Arabidopsis thaliana: one gene and its partners. The protein of the gene in region 2 interacts with the protein of the main gene of each other region in a pairwise test. Each region holds a gene or a part of one and is shown on either strand. Other genes may lie near its edges.

Region 1 (5,791 bases), on a different chromosome or scaffold from region 2:
TCTTGCATTGTTCGAATCCATGAAAGTTCTTACATATGGTTTACTGAGGTTGACACTTATCCTATGATCTAAATTGATTAATCTTTAAAGAGAAAAATGATCACCTTTTGTGCTTTTAATGTGTTTCTTTTTTGCAGTTTTTGCTCATTTCAAATTGGTATTCATGCAATTTATTTATGGACTTGTCAAGAGTCTAAAAGGCTATGACTTTTTTAACTAGATCTTTAGCAAAAAAGCATTGAGATCTTACAAGAGTGTGAGAGAGGGGACCATTCCTTAAAGCGACAGCTCTTTTACAATTTTGGTTCCATCTTCTTCAACCCATTAGATATTTTGAGGTTTAATGTGAAACGTTTTACTTGATACAAGTTTGTACTGTACAACTGTCTTATAGAACAAACTTAATGATCTTCTTATCTGTTGACAAACGAATAGACAGAATAAACGGTAGATTGGATATGATCTTTGTGTCATGACTCATTAGACCTTTAAATTGAAGATTCTTCTTTTCTATCTTTTGATGTAAACGTACTTTATGATATCTCAACTCATCCATCTGGTGTGTTTTGATTACATCACATGAAAAGGTGTTGCTGCTTTTCTATTAAAAGGTAAAGTTAAATATTCTTATAATACACATGCATTTAGACCCCAAGTGTTTTTGACTAAACTTTGCAAAAATCCAATATTATTATCAAAAGATGATGATGATAGAGAAGATAGACTAGTTTTGATCAACTTCCTTCATTTAGACCAACATGGGTGGCTCTCTTTACCTATCTCATGTCCCCATTCTTTTACTCATCAAAGACAACATCACATTCAAGTTTGGTGGATCTCCTCCTACCACTAAAGTAGGTGAGAGAGAACAATTATTGACATCAGACATAGAAAACAATAATCATATTTTTACTCTTAGTGAGCTAAGTTTCACTTGTAATTTAAGGGAACTGGCTAAATCCCCCTGATGTTCCAGAAGAAGAAACAATTCAAAACTTACTGTTCATGGAAAATGACCAACTTATATCTCTTGGGACCAAAAGATTACGTGAGAAATAGGAATCTCATGTTGTTTAAATAACAAGGATCTAGCCTGAACAGAGCAGTAAAAGTAAAACCCAAAGAGAAAGTTTCAGACTTTATTAGAACATCCACGGAGTTACACAATAAGAACAGGGAGCAGTAACAATAGGATGATGATGATACAAAGTTACAAACATAACACAACAAGACGAAACCTTGGAATCTAACCATAATTGAGCTACAGAAGAACGTTGGTCTAACTGGTGAAAATATGAAAAATTACAATCGGCAAGGTTAAGATATTGGAAGAAGAAGAAGAAGAACCTGAAACTGTTGTTCTTTCTTCATTTCCTTGCGTTTTCTAGATTCAGGCCATTGACTACACAAACCGAGAACACCTTCCCTGTTCCGGACAATCTAAGTCAAGCTTCAATGTGCATGGAAGCTAGACAAGCCCTGCAAAATGGTTTAAAGTTCAATGACCAAAGAAGTACAAAAGTAGTGAATTTGATGTAAAAGGACAGAACTTGAGATAAACCTGAAACTTAGAGGATTAGTTTCGATTGTCAATGGCGAGAAATAGAGGAAGCAGAGGACGGCTTGTGAGTGAGACCGTCGTGCTGCTCCTCTTCTTGGCCCTGAAACCGTGCTGGTATGCGAAAACCCGAAGAGAATTCACCTGAGGCGAATCCGATTCCGGGGATTGCTGATTGGTGAACCGGTGGAGGAAGGTGATGGTGGTGGTTGAGATCGTCGGTGGAGATGGATTGGTGATGATGGTGAGGATCAAACCAAGCACGGATCATGGGACTGTAACTGGACTGAAGGGGACCCCTCTGAGAATAAAGCTGTTGGCTTTGGCCAAGAACTGGCTGAAACGACGTCGTTGAAGGAGTAGGAGGAGCGAACAGAAACCCTCCTCCGTTTCCTGTATCGGTTGCTCCGCCGCCACCGCCGCTGTTCCAAGCCACTAGTCTCTGAATCCTTCCGAATTCCGACGACTGCTGCTCCCAACTCGATGTGTCAAACCCTAACGGATTGCTCTGTCCGTAGAACAGAGTAGGCTCGGAGGCGGAAGCAGAGGTGTGGTGGTGATGTTGGTGGTGCAGAAGCGACGGTGGACCATCCGGGAACGATTGCAGCGAGAGACGGAGATCTTGGTTTTGGCTATTAGTTCGAGAAAGCAAATCCGGCGGATGCTGATGATGATAGTTGTGCATAAGGTTATGATTCGAAGGAGCCTCCGTTGAAGAGCCAATCACCGGAAAAAACGACTTTATAGTGTCAGCTATCGAATCTGAATCCATTGACGGCGGGAGAAAACTCGACTCGTTGTTACTCGGATGCTCTGCTCCTCCTCCGTTGAAGCCAACACCGAACTGAAGCTGTTGTTGTTGTTGTTGCTGTTGCGGCGGTGGCGGAGACGGAGAGATTTGGGTTTTGGCGGTGGTTCTTCTGGGTTTAGCGTTAGCAGCGGCTAGGCGAATTGCATCGGCGGGATTCCAGGGAGGAAGCTCAGCGAGCTCGTCAATGGAAGTCTTAGCCTTTTTGATAAGCCAATCAACGGCTTTGCTAGGTCGGTCGAAACCAAGCCTGTCTTGAACATCGTAAAACTGAATCGCCGTGTGAGCAGAGAGTCTCACGCGCCGGTCACGTGGCCCTTTAGCCGTGCAGACTTTGCTGTGGCGGTCTTTTCTTCCGGTAGACCGAACAATGTGACCACCTTGCACCTCAACAATCTCGCCGCAGCCGCCGTCCGCCGCATCCGACGTAGAACGGTGCCTCATTGAAGAAGGAGGCGGCGGGTGATGGAATTGGTCGTCAGACATTGGTAGAGCATATTCGTCGAGACGGCGGCGGCGGCGGCGACGGTGGTCGTCGTTAGAGGGTGAGGAATCCAGAGTAACTCAAAAAGGATGAAACTCCCGCATACTTGCTCTCCTCACCTCAAAACCCTAACCCTAAAAACAATCCTAAGAAGAAGAGGTTTAGTGAAAATTGTGGACTAACCCATATTTGAGAGAATCTCTCTCTTTTTTTCTATAGCTTAAAGTCTCTCTCTATTGTTTGGTCTGTGTAGTAAATAGAAAACGCAAGAAGGAGACCAAAGAGATGAAGCAAGCAAAGCAAGCGAAGGTGAGAGAGAGAAGAGAGAAAGGGAGATGTGTAATTGACCAATCAAGAAAAACCCAGAGAAAGCTTTTCTTTTTATTTTTCTCTCTCGGGAAAATGGTTAAAGAGAAAAAGTAAAATAAGCAGAAGGAAGAGGGAAGAGGAAGAGAGTGTTGTGGGTTTGATGATGACGCAACTGGGTAAGATGACAGTAAGTGTTTTTTTCCTCTCATCTCCACATTCAATACTTTTATTTTTTCTTTCTTTCTTTTTTGGGTAACCAAAGCTTCCTCGTTTCCCAAATTTATTCATTTTTTTCCATTCTTTGTTTAAAAAAAAAATCTGATTGTTATAAGGTTTTAACAGTAAGTATTCATTTTGTTCATGTTAATTTTTAAAATCAATGTTTAACTTAATGTGTAGATGCAAATACAACCAAATAATAATCAACACAATCATAAACTAAATTGTAGGATGCCAAAATATTAGAAAAAAAATAATAATAATAATAATGATGGTTTTTAGAGTTAGATGTTTCCAAAACCAAATTTGTTTACCAAAATAATAGTATAGGATTTGTTATGTGCATGCAAATCATTATGTTATTTTCTAAGAGAATACATTAAACAGACTACTTTAATTTAGTGTGATATAAAAATACTAAGATGTGTTAAAACATCTACTTTTGGTCAGAGTTACTAACTTCCTTGATATGAAAATGGGCACTCTTTTCGTGGACATGTCCACATACATACATAATCATGGGGATTATATACTTAAAAAGTTGAAATCACTGGAATGAACTAGCTACTTTATTTTTCGAGTTTCCGAATTCAATAAATGAATAAATACCCTAAAAACCTATGGTGTTAGATGGGTCAAGGTTCAATTCAACCTTTTGTGCTTCTCGGTTTCTTTTAAGGGTTGACCCATGCTAGTTCAATGCAAATACATAAAGCTTGTTGATGCTCCACTTCTTTTTACCTTTTTGTTGTAAGAATCTCAATAGTTAACTAAAGTAGATTTTATTCGAAAAATCGAACTCGTTAAAAGAAGAATATAATATTAGTTAGCAATACAATTAGGGCTCTTTATAATCTAAGATTTTCTTTTTTCATCTCTCATCTTCGTTTTTGATGTTTTTGTTTTTTGCAATCCTGTTTTAGATTCTATAAACTAGTAACAAACACAATAAGACTCTCGTTATTCTTTGTTCTAAAATCCAATACTTCTTTTCTAGCTATTTTGACTTGTGGAACTAATTGATTTCACCGTATCGTGTTCGTGTGCATATCACCCAAATTCATATATGAAAGGTATTTTGAAATTGAAGAATACGACGTATAAATAAACTAATAAAGGTGAGTAAAAGACAATCTAAGCTTCAACGGAGACATTTCTAAGATCTTGAGAATTTTACGAGTTCAAAAATAATTGGTGGGACTCTATAATAATAGTATAATGCTTCTTGAATCCCAACCAATTTGACTATAACTCTCACAACTAATTCATGTATGGAATATATTGTGGTTATAATACTTGTACCACAAAATATCTCCAGATTGGTGAAAAACGAATAAATACAACAAACCTATTATATTGTTCACACAATTTTGTAGCATATTAAATTTGAACACACGTACGGTAAGCTAACGTAATTTTCAAGTAGTTGAATATGTTTTTTCTTCAAAGCAATAATAAAAACTTGACGCAAAGGATCATAACTATATAATTTTTTAGTTGGAAAAATATATATAGTATACAGCATTATTTGATAGTTTAAAACTATTCATATAAATAATTACTATTAGACCACCTACTTTAATGTAATAATAAATCAGAAAGTGACATATTAGCATGATAGAAAAGGGTCAATTAACAAACCTAATACGAACACAATAAAATAATTAATCAAACAAAACAAAATATAATATTTAAACATGAAATAGGTTGTTTAGTAGAGAAAAGGAGAATATATGTCATCCCACGGTTGCATATTAATTAAATGTAAATCAAAAGTAGCTTCCACTTGGAATTACGGTCACGATTTGCAACACAACAAAATAGAATGATTACGAGAGATTTAAATTCTTAATTATGGGGAAATTTGTATGAAATGCAATAATTAAGCACAATAATGTCATTGATTATTAACGTCAGTTTTAGTTTTTGACATCAATATTAATTAAATGTATATATATACGCCTCATCAAAATGATATTGTGATCATCAAAGTAGTTGACAATATGGCCAAGTAGGCAAGTAGTATGTATGGATCATCTTATTTAGTTTGCTCTTCGAGCATTAAGAAGGACGTAGTAGTCGACTATAAAAGAAGAGAAATACGATATTATCTTTTTTAAATGTCATGAGATATGATTTATTAATCAAAGTAATCGGTTATTTATAAGTTATCATGGAAATAAAATAGTAACATGGAGGCACAATGCTTTGCGGATATTCATGACTCTCTTTGGTCTGTCATCATTCACTCGTCAGTAATATAAAAACATGCACAAGTTGGAATCATGTTTCAAGAATGGCAAAAGAAAAAGAATATAAAAAAAGTTTCAAGGATGGTCAATATTCTAAAAGTGAAATAATTCAATTACTAGTATCGTAGTAATAATTTGTTGTCAAATATTCGATCTAAAAA
Region 2 (5,734 bases):
GCTCTAAAGATCCAGAAAAGTACCATCAGGATGATAGAATTTGGCTAATCTTCTGTATGCTACCTTAATCTGTTCTTCCTCTGCATTTCTATCCAACTCTGTTACTCAAATTCATACAACATAGAACCATATCAGAAACACGAAACACAACACAAAGACTTCTTGTCAAATTCTTCTGACACAAGTCACAAACAGTAACCAAAACAACAGAACCACTCCAATGAATCGAATAGAATCACAAACTTGTGAATCAACAACCACATCAAAGGAAACTGTAAGATACATAAAATTCCCGAATTGGTAGAAGAAGCTTACCGAGAGTATCGTAAGGAGATTTCTCTTGGCTCCAATTCGATGCTCTAACTAGAGTCTTCCTCTGATTCAAACGAAACCAAAGATTCGAATTTTTAGACCTAAACCAAGACGAATTCGAACTCTGGTTTCTAAAGGCGACGTTTTTAATCGAAACCCTAAAAAGTGATCGACTTTGATGTCTACTACAACACACAATCGAAGAGAACACAGAGTATGGTCTACAGATAGCTCGAAGATTGCTCATAACTTCAAGTTCCAACCCAGAAACCGATCAATTTCGTAAACCCAGAAATCAAAATTCATATAAATCAAATTCCACCTCTTTATATGAACGAACAAGTAAGCTCACGAAAATGAAATTCCTGAAAAATCCAACCGAACAAGAGACTTCTTCTTTACTCTTTTCTTCAATTGAATTTTCTCATTTTCCTCAGAAAATTCCAACGGAAGTTTTTTTGTGGACGACTGAAGCGCAACGATGGGAAAATTACAATAGTACCCTTTGATTTATTGAGTTTCACATTAGTCCCTTAATAATACATTAAATATACATTCAGTACACATATTATCAAATTGCTCAGATTTCAAACTTATTTGTTGTATCTAAATATATTACAAAGTTTCAACCCAAATTTACAATCTTCTCTGGAGAGATACTTCATAAAGCAAAAACCATAAAGTTCTAATCAAGAGAATCTCACTCTACTTAATTAACAAAGATCTTTTTTAAAACATCCTTCCAAGCTTTGTGATGAGTATGCTTCTTCAAGACTTTTGATTCTGCTGTTTCTTGTTTTTAAAGTTTTAATAAGTTCCTCTTTTAAGTTGGTTCTTGTGGACGAGCTGCCCAAAGAGAACTAAGAGCACGAAGTCTATGAAGATACTCTCCTAAAGCTAGTAAACCTCGAGCCGATTGTCTTGTCGTTAAGATCTTCGCCATTTGTTGCAAAGTTTGTTGCCTCAGATGATCTGCCTGTTATAATCAGGATAGAGATGTTTGAAATAGAATGACACAAACTTTACTTAATTTGTTTTGAGTTAATGTTTACTACTTACTTGATTCACAAATCCTTCTAATGCTTGAAGATTCTCTATAGCTGCAGCCATGTGAGTGGGATAATGCGTGGACTCGATAACCGCATCAATCACAATGCTTTCAGCTAAACTCTGTTGAAGTTTATCAATCCCTTGAGACAGAGCATCCTCTGCTTGTTGTGATGATTGTTGGAGGTTTCTCACTTCCAAGATTTGTTGATCCGTTAATGGTTGAAGATAAGGCATCACAACCTACAAGAAAAGGGAAGGAGAAAATATTACATTTTGAAAATGTTTTTGTTAGAGATTGTAACATTTTGGGTATTTTTACGTTTAAAAGTTCGGATGGACGAAACCCTCCAATCCATTGGAAGAATCTTTCGGTTGAAGTTCGCCACATTCCCGATATCAAGTAGAAAACATCGGCTTTTGCTGCATCGGATTTCATTTGGAAAAGATTAGCGTAATGGTTCAAGCAACTCTCTACTAGCATCTTGAGTTCTATGTCGCTTATATGAGATTGAAGCGCTGTTCGTAGTTCGCTAACTCTTCTGCTTTGTTCTTGTAGCCAGTGTGAATATTCCATCTCAAATGATGCAATCCCTGTGTTAATACTCCCAGATGGTCCTAAATGGCCCTTGAAAGAAAACATTTAGTACTGAGTCAATTACGAAACCAAAACTGATTTTCTTGATAGAGACTCAAAACAGAACATTTTAAACATATCTTTTGACCTAGCTCACCTGCTGCTTAACCTTTTCGAGTTCTTGCTCTAACTGCGATAACTTTAACCGGCTTTCCTCTAACTGCTGAACATAAGCCTAAAGATACAAAAAAAAAGAGGACTTAGTAGCAACTAACTAAACTATATGAGATTCAATAAAGGGACTTGCTTCTACCTTCTTTCTCAAACGACTTTTGCGAGCCGCTTCTCGGTTCTGCGCTAAACGCCGTTTCATCTATTGGCATATGACAAAAGAATATCAATCAATATCACAAAAACCACCATTTTCTATTATGCATGTATAAAAAAGAAAACATAATTAGCTTTGTTTTGATCTAAACCTTATCATGAATCCTGCCATCATCATCTTGATTATCATTACTAGAAGGTTGTTCTGCTTCGATCTGGTTATGAGAAGAATCATAATTTATCTGCACGTGATTTAAAAACCCATTAGTAAAAAAACAAGTAACAACAACTTTCAAAAATCAATGAATCTTGAAAGAAGAAAACTAGTTAACCTTGATGTTGTTGTTGTGATCATCAATTCTAGGATCAACCTGAATAATAGAGGAAGTAGCAGTATTGGGACTATGATCATTGATATCAGATTTGAAAACATTTCCCCAACCGACAATTTGTTGAAATGGCTCATAGATTCCCATGTCTCTTAAAGATGCAAGTTGTGTTGGAGAAGAAGAACTCATCATCTCTATATATATCCTCTACATATCAAACCAATCATAGTTGGTAATTTAGAATCTTTCAAAAACATGCACAAGAATAGATCAAAGCAGAAAGAAAAAAGAAAGTTTTGTGTTGCCTCACCTTCAGTTATAGATCCAATAGCTGGCTCTTAAAAATTGCATTTGCTCTCACTGATACAAACCATAAACAGAATAAACTCTTAATCATTTTTAAAACTAATATAAAGTTTGGAACTAAAAAAAACACACGAGAAACTCCAAATTCTCCAAGATCCAAACGTTTCAAGTGAAAAACAGAGAGGGAGGGAAAATTTAACAAACCTTGATCGATAAGCAGAGATATTCATGAAGAATTTGAGAGCTGAAGAGTTAAAGATGCTTATGAAACACGTTTCTGGTTAATACAGAGATATTTTTCATTCGGACCACAGACATCAAATGGAAGAAGAAGTGTATTTCGTTCCTTTGAACACTTCCTGTCACAAAAAAAAAAAACTTAAAGGTCAAGAGTTCCCATCATGTAAAAGAGAGGAAAAAAGGATTTTTTTTTTTTGTTTTGGTCTTTTTCTATTTCATTTATTTGTGACCATCACGGCATCACCATTAGAGTAATATTTAAGTTAAAGAATTAATAATAGTAATCAAGTTTATTAAGAAATAATCACAATCAATTTAAAGGAACGAAACGTTTAACGACAAACAAAACGCAAGAGAGAGATGCATCTTTGGCAAAGCCGAGAAGGTGACCTTATCGTGCGCTTTAATTTCTGAGGTACGCACGACGTGATGTCATCTACCAAGAGCTGAAATACCTTCCGATGTCGACACGTACCAAGTTCAGTCGATTATTCCGGTGGTGTATAATTTATTTGCATTCCAGAATTGGAAAGAGTCTTATGTTTTAGGGTTCAAATAATAAATAGTTTTAACAGAACAAATATACTTTTCCCCCGTTTCTTTAAATTTTGGTATCGTGGGAAACTTTTGATTTATTGGTTGATCAAAGATTTAGTGCTTTTGACAGCAGCAACAGATTTTCTTAAACTATAGACAAGTTCGAAGTTTATCATAAATGTAGTGTATATAGAACCGTACGTTTTGTAGTATATATATAAATTGAATTGTCATATATGTAAAATCGTTTCATATGTTTCTATGTATGTTACGGCGATTTAAACATGTCGTAAATGATAAAATGATCATGATTTATACTATAATTAGAATATCTAAAGTTGAAAAGATTCATCCTTTTAAATATAAATATATATTCATAATCATAGCCCGAATTATCGTCTAACTGATCATGACCAATCCATAATTTTCGAAACCATTTTCACATCTTTTTGGACATGCACGCTGATGGGTCTGCAAAAGAATCAATGTCTTTTTCCCTATAAGTTAGGTTCATATAGGTGGTACAAAGATGTAGGATTTTCTTTCTTCAAATTTTATTTTATCAACGTTATGTTTTTATTTTCTTTCTTTTACAACTTTAGGTTTATTTTGAGGGGACCATAAGGTTTATGCAGTGGCGTCTTTATGCTTAGTCTCCTTCCCTGACTTAGTGACAAATAATTGGAGCTTTAATGGCCTACCAAACACAAAAGATAACATTTTTAAATCTCTTTATTATTTTAAAATTAGGAATCTTAATTAGTTCGGAACCACTTGTGTAATAAAAATCTGTGTGTTCGACAAAGACAAGCATGTTTGTTTATTTTCTTATTCAGTTTTATTTCCTCTCTTGGTTTTACTTTAATAAAGAGTCCCTCTATATTGTTTTTCCAATCTATATACTATAATAAATATGAATCGGTGCGGTGATACGCAAATAAATAAATACAAGAAAAGCAACAATATTGTATGATCCTGTCAGAATATCAATTGGCATCGCGAAAGATCATATATAGTTTGGCTTGATTTATTGGTAAATCGAAGTTCTTAGAAACTTACCGAGCTAACTAAGCCTTGGTCAAGAACCTAGATAATTTTAAAACTATATGCATGCATTATAGATATCATTGTTACGTCTTATAGTTGATGAAGAAAAAGAAAGTATGATTACAAAAGTTACGTACACACAATTCTACTTTAATTCATCACGAAGACACCGATCTTCCACTATTTTCATTATCTTCTTTCTCCTTTTTTTCGTTATGACTACAAAAGTTATGCATTTTATTGCTTTTCTCGTTATCTTCTCCGTACCTTTTTTAATCTCTTATTTCTTACATTCTTCTCAAGTACACTTTAAAAAAATATATCTTTCAAGATTGATATGGATTGCATTCTACTATTTTCAGACTATATTTTGCACCAGAAATAGTTTCTGTTTGTTTCCCGTTTTCTTGAAAAAAATAGTGGTTAGAAAATACACTTGAAACCAATCTAGGTGAATAAAACATGAAAACTTGTTTTTAGGTTTAAACCGCCGTAGGAAGAATAATCAAAGATATATCGTAACTGAGCAAATCAAAATTTCGAATCTATCATGCCCTGATGAGATTCTTGTGCACGCGAATGATCGATCATCAGACGTTCAAAAAAGGAAAAATTAAAATTCGAATATTTGTAAAATTGCTTCATGAAGAATACATAGTAAATATTCTCCATAAATTACAAAACAAAGAAGGAATATAAGAAAATCTATTAAAGGAGGCATATATATAAATATATATTTATATACTATAGTTCCTTTTATATAAACCGCATGTCGTTCAAAGATTCGAACTTGAACTGAACTGAGATTGATTCTCTTATTTCGCATTCCGAAAAAATGAATACATATTCTTTCATGTTGGTTAAACATGCAGTACAACCACATGATTAGTAATAATAAACTTTTGCTACAAAATCTTAAAATGAACACAGAATTTAAGAGATTAATATCTAAACTCTTAATATTATCTCCTTTGACTTACCGGAAGAGAAGCAAAAATAAAAATAATAATTT
Region 3 (5,706 bases), on a different chromosome or scaffold from region 2:
GTTTTTTTTATTTTGTGTGTGTTTCACGCGTTCTGTGCTGCTAAGAACGTATTGAAGTCATCTCTAGCTTTCAACAGTCTTGGGGTAATACATGTTCGCGGCGAAGCTGGGCACGAATCCGAGGTTGTGGTCGAGAATCTGACACGGCGTTGCGGGGATGTCTCAGCCAAATCCCTTAATTGTCTTCCAGACAGAGAACTGCTTTTCTTTAGAACGCTTCTCAAAGCTAGACTTCCTGTTTCCTTGTCAAAGAAGAAACCAGAACTCACTGGTTCTTGCACATCTCCACCGCCACATTTGATCATCTCCACCGGTAGATCGATATACAATCTGCCGTTTTCGCGGGTTAGAGCTGTCGTTGAAGCCCATGATCCACATTCGAATTTCTCTAGCGAGGCACTTAGTGAGACAGTGGAATTTGAGAATGATGACGCTTTGATCATTTTCTTCTTTATAGAGTCCTCGCTTTTTGGTGATCGCACAGGTCTTTTTCCAAACCCGGGGAGGGATAAACAGAACGCATTGCACTTGAAATTTTCTTCTTCTTGGTAGAAGTTTTTCTCGGGATACCGAGATTTTCGTAGAGAAAGCATGGATTCTTGGTGGCTAAGCTTCTTCCGTGGTTTCATCATCGGCTCAGGAAGAACAGGAAGAGGCACAGCGTTGTCTCTTGGCGGAGACATTGCCAGAGGTAAGACCATTCTGAAGCTCTCTTCGTTCAGCGATGGGCGAGAGACAGTCATCTGGTTCTGCAGAGTCGCCTTCTGCACCAAGAAATTAATATTAGGGTTAGGGTTTTCTCCGGGATAAACGCTGAAACCCTGCCACTCGTCGTTGCTCCATTTTTGGGTTAAACCATCTTCAAACACAACCAATGCTGGAGGAGACATAACAAAGTCAGAAATCTTAAGACGATGTACTAAAGATGATGAAGGAAAAGGTTTGATTTTTAGGGTTTAGGGTTAGAATTTTCAGAATATATAGAGATGGGGGAAGAAGTGGAAAGCACGTCTATGTCGGCGTGGAGAAGTAGTGACTAACATGTTGGGATGTTAATACAGAGGCGGTCTGACGAAGAAGGTACATGATAACATTTGAATATACTAAATCCGTGTCTCCACATTTTGACCATTAGCTTATTATCAGTGTTAGGTACGTGTGTGATAATCAAATGAATTGAGAATCTTGACAAAATATATATAAAATGATTTGCGAATTAATAAGAAAAGATATTTCGTTGCTCGAACATTGCATGTTTCTTGGATGTTGAATCTATACTACATTTGAACGATATGATATGTCTTCATAATTTTCTATGACGGTCAATCAAAAAGATGTTTTAAAAGTATTTTAAAATGGAGTGTTATTTATTGTTAGTAACTTAGTATACATTAATGGCATTTGCCACGCCAAGAAACCAAAAAATGCAAAAGAATTGTGGGATAGAGTTTTTAGTATTTAAATGAATTTATAGACCCATTGTAGCTCTTCTAGATAATAGTATTATTTTTGATGTTGTTTTTGTGTTCCCAAGTTCAAAATTTGATGAGAAAAGATGATTTATGCCTCATAGTTTTCGAACCAAGGGGAGAGACATCTGCAACTTTCTTGTTATGTTTTTTTTAATAGATTTATAGGCAATTTAACTACAACTACCGTAAGACATTTTTTATTTTAATTCAATTGACGATGTAGGAAAATATTTTCAAACTTTTGATGTTACTGAAATATTTCATGCCTTGTATCGTTTATTAAGGAAGTGTTAGAATGATCTTTTAGTTAATTTATACTTTTGCACACAAAAAAGAAGTTAATTTATACCAAAATAAATAAATTAAACTCATTATATGTGTGATATTTCAGATGATTTCAAGTATGATTTTTTTTCTTCTTTTCAGAACCAAACTAAAAGACTATAATAAAAGTCAATTTTACATTATCAAGAATAAAAATTTACTATATTACTATTTTTAGAAATGGAAGATGCAACCCAATATTTTAACTGGTTGTTGAAAATTAAACCGCGTAATTGGAATGTTGGTTGAATAATGGGCCGAACAGAGAAGCCCAAATTGATAAAAAGGTTAAAGTTTTTTGAAAAGCCTATTCGTTCTAAACCCTAAACCGGAGCAAAGCGTTAGCTGCTGTCTCTTCCGTCTTCGTCCTCCGACCTCTGTCTTTCTTCTGATCCTTCGAAAAAGCTCTCGTGAGTCACTACTCTTCTCTAATGTCTGTACATGTCAAGGTACATAAGCTTATTATTACTTCCTGATTATAGTTGCAATCACTTTCCTTTGTTGATTCTATACCCTTACTTTTGACATTTTGGCTTACCTTTGCTTCCGTCTCGATAAGCTTAGTTGTTTTTGTTGACAATTCCCAATTTTTTAGATTAGGGTTATCATAAAGTGTCAAACTTTATTCAATTTAAACTCTTTTGAGTAACTAGAATGGTATAGAGACTCAATTCTCAGTTATAATTATTGTAGAAAGATGCAATTCAGAGGATTGTGTTCGATTTTGAAGTTTAGTTAACTCAAAAATGTTTGTTCTTTTAAGGTTTGTGCTGTCTTGAAGCTTTTTGATGAGTTTCTGTCATTGTTTAGGAAGAACCTGTGCTTGTTCCAAACTGCGATGTCGAGAATACAGAGCTTGCAGTTTTCAATGGAAATGGAGAAAGTGAGCTTGAGAATTTTGGGACTTGCGTAGATGAGATAACAGATAGAGTGAATCAGGTGACAATTGCTTTCACTTGGCACTGCTACTTTCTTGGTTTCAAATCTCTTACCCCTATATTGGAGTGCAGCTTGAGCAAAAAGTTGTGGAGGTCGAACACTTTTACTCTACAAAAGATGGAGCTGCTCAAACTAACACTTCTAAGAGTAACTCGGGCGGGAAGAAGATCGCTATTTCTCAACCAAACAACTCGAAGGGTAACTCGGCCGGGAAAGAAAAATCAAAGGGAAAACATGTTTCCAGCCCTGACCTTATGCGTCAATTTGCAACAATGTTTCGTCAGGCAAGCAAGAAAAATATACCCTCTTTGTCTCTATGATACTATTCTCAGATTATGACGAAAATCGAAAGCCTGGATCTTAGATTACTTTGTTTAATGCGTCCTTAGTTTACCAAATTTATATTGTTTACTCAGTGTTTGCTGCATCTAAAACTTTCATCTTCTTATACCTCTTAGATTGCTCAACATAAATGGGCATGGCCGTTCTTGGAGCCTGTTGATGTTAAAGGACTTGGACTACATGATTATTACAAGGTAAAGATTCAAACTGTTGCTAATATACTGTGGGTTAAATATTCCATGTTTACATGGAATTTTGCTGAAATGAGCGATTTTGAAAAATGTTCATAGCTTCTGTTCATTACTTAACAGGTTATAGAGAAGCCAATGGACTTGGGAACAATTAAAAAAAAAATGGAGAGTTCGGAGTATAGCAATGTCAGGGAGATATATGCCGATGTTAGACTAGTTTTCAAGAACGCGATGAGATACAATGAAGAAAAAGAAGATGTTTATGTGATGGCTGAATCTCTTCTGGAGAAATTTGAGGAGAAATGGCTCCTGATAATGCCTAAACTTGTGGAGGAGGTACACCAAATGTTCAGTTTCCAAGTATTCGTCTTTGTAATATCAGTGATGTGTTAACTGTGATGTTATGAACAGGAAAAGAAACAAGTAGACGAAGAAGCGGAGAAGCATGCCAATAAGCAGCTTACAATGGAGGCTGCACAAGCGGAAATGGCTAGGGATTTAAGCAACGAAGTAAGCAAATGCAAAACCAATTATCAGCTGTTGATCTATTTCATTTCAGGCCATTTATTATAGCTGTGGGTTGATGAGTTTGCTTTGTACGTATCTTTAGCTATATGAGATTGATCTGCAGCTGGAGAAACTCCGGGAATCAGTAGTTCAGAGATGCAGGTATAAATAACCTCTTCTGTTGATCATTTTTACCCTTAATGAAGGGTTCGTAACCGAGTTTTTGGTGTGGTTTTGGAAATAAACAGAAAACTGTCCACTCAAGAAAAGAAAGGACTTTCTGCAGCTCTAGGTCGTCTCTCACCTGAGGATCTGTCTAAGGCGTTAAAAATGGTTTCAGAGAGCAACCCGAGTTTCCCGGCTGGAGCACCAGAAGTCGAGCTTGACATTGATGTTCAGGTCAACACCAAAATCTTCCTTATTTCTTTGTGGTTTTGCATCAGATATTCAGGTTTTAACGGTTTCCTCTCTTGTTTGTGAACAGACTGACGTTACATTGTGGAGACTGAAGGTGTTTGTGCAAGAAGCATTGAAAGCAGCTAACAAAAGCTCTGGAGGAACAAACGCTCAAAACAATAACAATACTGGAACTGGAGAGATCAACAAGAACAATGCAAAAAGACGGAGAGAGATCTCTGATGCAATCAATAAAGCTTCAATTAAAAGAGCTAAGAAAGCTTGAATCTCTCTCTATCTCTTGATGTGTTTATTGATACAGAAGGAACAAGAGTTTGGTGAACACCAATCTAAATTAGAAACTTTCCAGTTCCATTGCGCATGTTGCTTCAAATGTTGAGCACAATGTAAAAAAGAATGAATGGGAAAAAAATCTGAGCTATAGAGGAGATATAAAGAAGACTGCTTGAGGGAGAAATTCTGACAAATCTTCTAATAAAATCTTCAGTTTGAGAGATCTTTGGTGTGTTGAACGTTTCTTCGATTTCATTACCTTAAACCTCGGCACTTATAATTTAAAATCAATTTTTAAAAATGATAATATGATGTTTTGACCCAAAAAAATAATTAAAAAAAATGATAATATGATGTAGGGATTTGAAAACTAATAACATACGTGAATCTACAAACATATAATTTTTTAGTACTAAAGAGTATGACCACATGCTTCATTCTACTGCAATATGAACACAAATATGTCCAAACACCAAACCAATGAGATAATATGGGAAATTTGCTAAACTTCAAACATGACATTTAACAACCTATTCACTTGTTTTTGAAGATTTCGATTTTTTTTTACAAATTTGATAGTATATGAAAGATATGTGCAATTGTAAGACGATACAAAAACAAGCAAGAGAAGATCAAGGAACGATTTATTCAAGAATGCCAATAGGCTATGAGTAATCTTAGCTATAAAGTGAAAACAAGGTTTACTTTTGGGCCTTTAGCTCAATGTCTATTTCACCATAGATTAATCTTTGCCCAAACATGGAATAACACCAACAAGTATGGGGTGCAAATAGTTGTACATTTAGATGAAAAAAGTATGTTAAACAAAATTGGCATCTATTTGTCACCATATGTTCAACACTTTCATCTTTCTCAACTCAGATTGTTTCCAATCATTCATCTACGCACAATCATTTGCACCCATAATCTACTTTCATGGTCGAATAACTTTTTTTGTAGTTCCCAATAGCTTACATCAAGAGTTTCCAAAGGGCGATTGAAAGTGTCGAAACGATGGGACATTACATAATAGTTTGTGCTATCGTAGTTTCTATCTTTAGCACAAACTTTCCGAGAACTTTCTATGGTTCTATCTTTAGGTTTTAAAAATTTAAGATGACAAAAATGATAACTAGATATTTAATATAAAAAAGGCAAAAGTGTTAAACACATGTCTGGTTGGCCATTCTTCTCAAATCCACCATCATTATATATGTTGTAGATATTTATTTCATAAAAGG
Region 4 (4,542 bases), on a different chromosome or scaffold from region 2:
CAGAATCTCAACCACAAAGTCTTGAAAAGAGCGTCTTGCTCTGTTGGAATCTTCGTCTACCGGAAACCTTTATGGGAATCTCAAATGCACGGCTCATGTTACAAGGTACTTGTTTTTTTTCTTTTGTAATTAAGAGATCTCATGGTTAATTTTTGGGGTCGTCTGGCTTCCAACTCAAAACAAACCGACGATTAGTATATTTGGCCCATGTTTTTTCTATACTAGTGTTGGTACCTACACATTTCTTCCGATGTGTGATCTTAACAAGTTCTAAACTGGTCTCGTGGTTTGTATTTCAGGTGTGTGCAATAGTTGTGGGAGGGAAAGACGATAAAGAAGCCTTAGCATTCACCAACCGTATGAGGAGAAACAAGCAGACAAGCGTAACCATCTTACACCTCATACCTCAACTTACTACCGAGGAAAGCGAAGACTCGGTGCAGAAGTTGGATTACGATGACATAAAAGAGATAATGAAGACTGAGGATTCAAATGAAAATGATTCATGGATATGTATAGAAAAAAGCGTCAAAGAAGGGGCTGAGACTTCAGTGATACTTAGATCAATAGCGTATGATTATGATTTGTTTATAGTTGGAAGAAGTAGCGGAATGAATAGCGCAGTTACAAAAGGATTAAATGAATGGACAGAGTTCGAGGAACTTGGAGCCCTCGGAGATGTTATAGCGTCAAAGGAGTTTCCTTCAAGGGCATCTGTCTTGGTCTTGCAACAGCAACAATATTAGAATCTTTTTGTTTTACCATGTTATGAATATCCAAAGCACAAATTAGGTTCCTAGAGTTGAGTCGGCGATCCATATAGGTCGTCTGTACTGCTTTCTCGGGGTTAAAATTCTTTATTCTTTTACCAATCAAACAGAGAACAATACATAGAATCAAGATGTGAATGGTCTTGCAACAACAAAGCAATAATACAGCCAATGAACCAAAACGTGATATATCAAAGCAAAAGAAACTTAAGACTTGAGACTATAAACAAAACATAAATATTACTTCATTTAACCATACAATTTGTCGCTAAATTACTATATAACATGGTGTTTATTCAATAGAGAATCAACAATCTCGGTTACATCATCACTAGAATAGAAATTAGAGCCCTGGAAGTTATGAAACATGTAAGAAAGGTACACAATCAATATAGTGCAGAACCGGATTTGACTCACGTTAGAGCAAGCGTTATAGAATCAAGTAAATGACTTGATGAATTCAAAACCTTGATTTAAAAGTGATCCAGTGATCCACAGCTTCAGGTTAGGCAAGTTTAAGCTCTGTTCGAAGCATGTCCCCTGTTTCCACCACACAAGAAAACTCGGTAAGTAAACGGTATACTCGGAAACAAAACAAAGTAAAAGGGCACAAGTTGATTTACATCTAAGGTATATGTTAAGAGGTATGTGTCCGGAGAAGGAGAGCTTAGGTTAGAGTTCTGCACTTGGAAACTTGTAAGAGACTCCAAAGACTTGTAAAGAGATGGAGCAACACCTTCTCCTTTGTTACACACCAATCTCACATAAAACCCTTTCTCCTCCACTTGTATAACATCCATCTAACACAACAAAACATACAAACTTTAAACACTTTGATGTTTCAAGAAGATTGATTGGTTTTTTTAGGTTATTACCTGAATGATTTTTTTGGAAGCAGGAGGATTGATACCGCGAAAAGGTTGAGTCTTTTGAGCATCAGGAGCATGTTCTTGGTACCCTCCAGTAGAGTTTAAAGAAGCTTCAAGACCCGCGATATCGGATTTGAGTTTCTTCGCTTGTGACTGAAGTTCTTGAACATACAACACTGCATCTCCAACAATGGATGCTTTATCCATCTAAATGCCAACACACACATACTTCATCAATATTTACAGTTTCATTAGTCATTACCAAATCTTGAAAATGTTGTGACTTACCTTAGTAATATTGGGAACAAGAGATCTCAATGCATAAAGCTTATCCTTCATACGCCCTCTCCTTCTTCTCTCAGAGATCAAAGTCCTAGACCGATCAGTCTTCGTCTTACGGGTCCCATCATTATTCGTAGTAGTGGCTGAAGAATCATCACCGTCGTTGTAATCTTCTTCATCTTCTTCACCACCGGCTCTAACACTATCACCGTCGAAGCTACGGAATGATTCAGCAACGTTGGAGTCTAAGTCAGGCAATTCGTCGAAGAGGTCATCGACAGGTGTTGGGATGAACTGGTTCTCGTCTATGAAACAGGGGCTGTTTTGTAATGGACCAAGATCGAAATCAAGAACTGGGTTTTCGTCAATGGTTTGATGATCTCCTCTTATGAGGTTTATGAACTGATCGAAGTTTGGATCGACCAAGAAATTGTGAAGTTCGAGATCGTTTATGTTTGACAGAGCGTTGACTCTTCCTTCCATTTGTGTGTTTTTGTCAATGAAGAAAAGTTGTTGACAACGAAAGAGAGACAAAATGAGTTTATATAATAGAGTGAGTATGAAATAAACTGTATTAATTAACATAATAAGTTAAGAAATCAATTAAAACAAATTTAAAGAAATGTACTCTTGATAGTTGGTTGATATTAGTTTATTCAGTTACGTCTTGTAATGTCATGCATGACCTGTATATTATATGTATAAATTATGTTACTCGAATGATTAATTTGTCGTGTTGCATGACAATTATATTTCCACATTGTTCTTCTTTATATTTTATCATTTGAATTTTTTTTTGTGGTGGAGGGAATGCAGATTAGAAACAAGAGTATATGTTGATCAAAAAAAAAAAAAAATATATATAGAAATAACACACATTTTTGGTCATGTCTTTATTGGGAGAAGTTTTTTAAAATTATACTACTTTCCAAAAATATCATTTTTATCCATTTTCAAAAATACCACAAATATTTAGAGTTTTTTAAAGTTATAAAATATACCAAAAATATTACTATATAATTTAGTTTATGAATACATTATTATGAGTTTTGGTTATTAAGACCTTATATAGGCATATAGCATGTATATTAAGCTCATAATATATCCTGTTACTATATAATTTAGTTTATGAATATATATGAGTTTTGGTTATATAAATAAATAAATCGATCAGACCGTATTAAAAAGGTGTTCATAAGTAAAAGTTTACTACGATATTAGACGTACAAATGTTAGTGTACTGTTTATATTTTTGAATTTAGATCCACATATATTCTTGTTTATTAAAATGTTAGGAATTAATTTGCAATCGGCTTATTACAACTGTAGATGTCAACTGGTTTAGTTGTCACAAGCTAGAATTTTAACAAAAGTTTTTCTCAACATTTTTATGTTAGTGTATTTAAAAAGTACTCCAATATGATAAATATGTTTTGTAGAAAAACGGCCAAAATTAATTTCAAATATAAACTTAAACCAGCATAATTTTCAAATAACAAACCAACTCTGGAATATAATAGCATTTCAATTATTTTCTTTTATTTTTGATAAATGCATTTCCATTTTTCAAATCATTTAAGGATAAACCGCAATTAAATTATGAAGAAGCCTGTTCAATGCACGGTTTTCGTTCTTGTCTCAACAAACAAACAAAGGATAGCAAAGAAAGACAGTATAAAATATTAAAGTCTTGGCCGGTTAGGACAAAAATCAACTCTTTATAATATTTCAAGTTGGAATATTTTTTCAGGTATATAACTGTAAAAAAAAAAAAAAAAAAAAAGTCAACCAATTATAGATTCCATCTAGGTGTTGAATTTATTAGAGAAACTGAACTTTTGAGCAACATTGGATTTTTGGGATACTCCACAACTTTCAAAAACATCAACCAATTTCCAAATAAATATTTGAATAATGCTATTATGTCAATTTAGTAGATGTTTGGTTAGATCGTGGCTGTAAATTTCGGTCTGTAATGTTTCTGATATAATCTTATTTTTGCTGTAAAATTTTTTTTCACATATAGCCTCTAGAGTTTAAAACAAATAAAAATTGTTGTAAAAACAATTCATGAATATGGCATACTTTGGTTCAAATATATTTGATACATGTGAAGCTAGCATAATTTTTACTGAAATTCTTCCTATTTCGTTTTTTTTTTGCCACATGATTATCTTTCAGTACTCCAACAAATATGACAACTCTTTTTCTTTTCTTCACTAATTGACATTTGGAACAAATACAATTTTGCTGTACCTATCACATCTTTAGAAACATAACTCTGAATAAGTCACAAACTTATGAAGCAAAATATTTTGACAAACTTTTTTCTTTTTTCCTTTTCTTTTTCCTCTAACCTTTATGCATGTCAACTAGCAGATAACTTTTAATTTGTTCACCCCAACAAAAATGGGGAAAATATGAAAACTCCTTTTCTTCTCTATACAGACATGGAACAAATTCAATTTTTATGTGACTTATCAGCACATCTTTAGAAACACAACAGCGGATAAGTCATGACTCATGAACATCAATAAAGTATTGTGTCAGATTTTCAGATAACCGTAACTATCGGTTACAATTTTGAAAACCGAAATGGCATGGATTCACTAATAAAACCA

The links.
Region 1: the proteins of TGA7 (region 2) and TCP4 interact in binary tests that used the Arabidopsis thaliana proteins (3 or more experiments, as listed by UniProt).
Region 3: the proteins of TGA7 (region 2) and IMB1 interact in binary tests that used the Arabidopsis thaliana proteins (3 or more experiments, as listed by UniProt).
Region 4: the proteins of TGA7 (region 2) and FRU interact in binary tests that used the Arabidopsis thaliana proteins (3 or more experiments, as listed by UniProt).

The regions. Positions count from the first base shown.
Region 1 is NC_003074.8:5,059,369-5,065,159, reverse strand, and holds TCP4 (TCP family transcription factor 4), read right to left. Parts: upstream 3,480-5,791; 5' UTR 2,853-3,479; coding exon 1,590-2,852; 3' UTR 1,562-1,589; intron 1,480-1,561; 3' UTR 1,008-1,479; downstream 1-1,007. UniProt on the Arabidopsis thaliana protein: Transcription factor playing a pivotal role in the control of morphogenesis of shoot organs by negatively regulating the expression of boundary-specific genes such as CUC genes, probably through the induction of miRNA (e.g. miR164).
Region 2 is NC_003070.9:29,296,009-29,301,742, reverse strand, and holds TGA7 (bZIP transcription factor family protein), read right to left. Parts: upstream 3,501-5,734; 5' UTR 3,103-3,500; intron 2,953-3,102; 5' UTR 2,903-2,952; intron 2,800-2,902; 5' UTR 2,785-2,799; coding exon 2,596-2,784; intron 2,506-2,595; coding exon 2,416-2,505; intron 2,310-2,415; coding exon 2,250-2,309; intron 2,172-2,249; coding exon 2,094-2,171; intron 1,988-2,093; coding exon 1,682-1,987; intron 1,603-1,681; coding exon 1,372-1,602; intron 1,289-1,371; coding exon 1,136-1,288; 3' UTR 798-1,135; downstream 1-797. Other genes in the region: AT1G77930 (Chaperone DnaJ-domain superfamily protein), read right to left, coding at 24-98, 316-559; AT1G77910 (uncharacterized protein), read right to left, coding at 5,336-5,605.
Region 3 is NC_003071.7:14,722,084-14,727,789, reverse strand, and holds IMB1 (Transcription factor GTE6), read left to right. Parts: upstream 1-2,105; 5' UTR 2,106-2,227; coding exon 2,228-2,245; intron 2,246-2,606; coding exon 2,607-2,735; intron 2,736-2,806; coding exon 2,807-3,019; intron 3,020-3,193; coding exon 3,194-3,271; intron 3,272-3,388; coding exon 3,389-3,604; intron 3,605-3,679; coding exon 3,680-3,778; intron 3,779-3,878; coding exon 3,879-3,937; intron 3,938-4,023; coding exon 4,024-4,174; intron 4,175-4,259; coding exon 4,260-4,457; 3' UTR 4,458-4,777; downstream 4,778-5,706. Other genes in the region: AT2G34910 (root hair specific protein), read right to left, coding at 24-890. UniProt on the Arabidopsis thaliana protein: Transcription activator that plays a role in the promotion of seed germination by both negatively and positively regulating the abscisic acid (ABA) and phytochrome A (phyA) transduction pathways, respectively.
Region 4 is NC_003071.7:12,002,575-12,007,116, reverse strand, and holds FRU (FER-like regulator of iron uptake), read right to left. Parts: upstream 2,460-4,542; 5' UTR 2,405-2,459; coding exon 1,928-2,404; intron 1,847-1,927; coding exon 1,646-1,846; intron 1,571-1,645; coding exon 1,394-1,570; intron 1,311-1,393; coding exon 1,209-1,310; 3' UTR 1,122-1,208; coding exon of another isoform or gene 1,114-1,121; 3' UTR 841-1,113; downstream 1-840. Other genes in the region: ATCHX7 (Cation/hydrogen exchanger family protein), read left to right, coding at 1-105, 300-746. UniProt on the Arabidopsis thaliana protein: Transcription factor. Essential protein involved in iron uptake responses. Regulates FRO2 at the level of mRNA accumulation and IRT1 at the level of protein accumulation. Confers enhanced iron mobilization responses at low iron supply.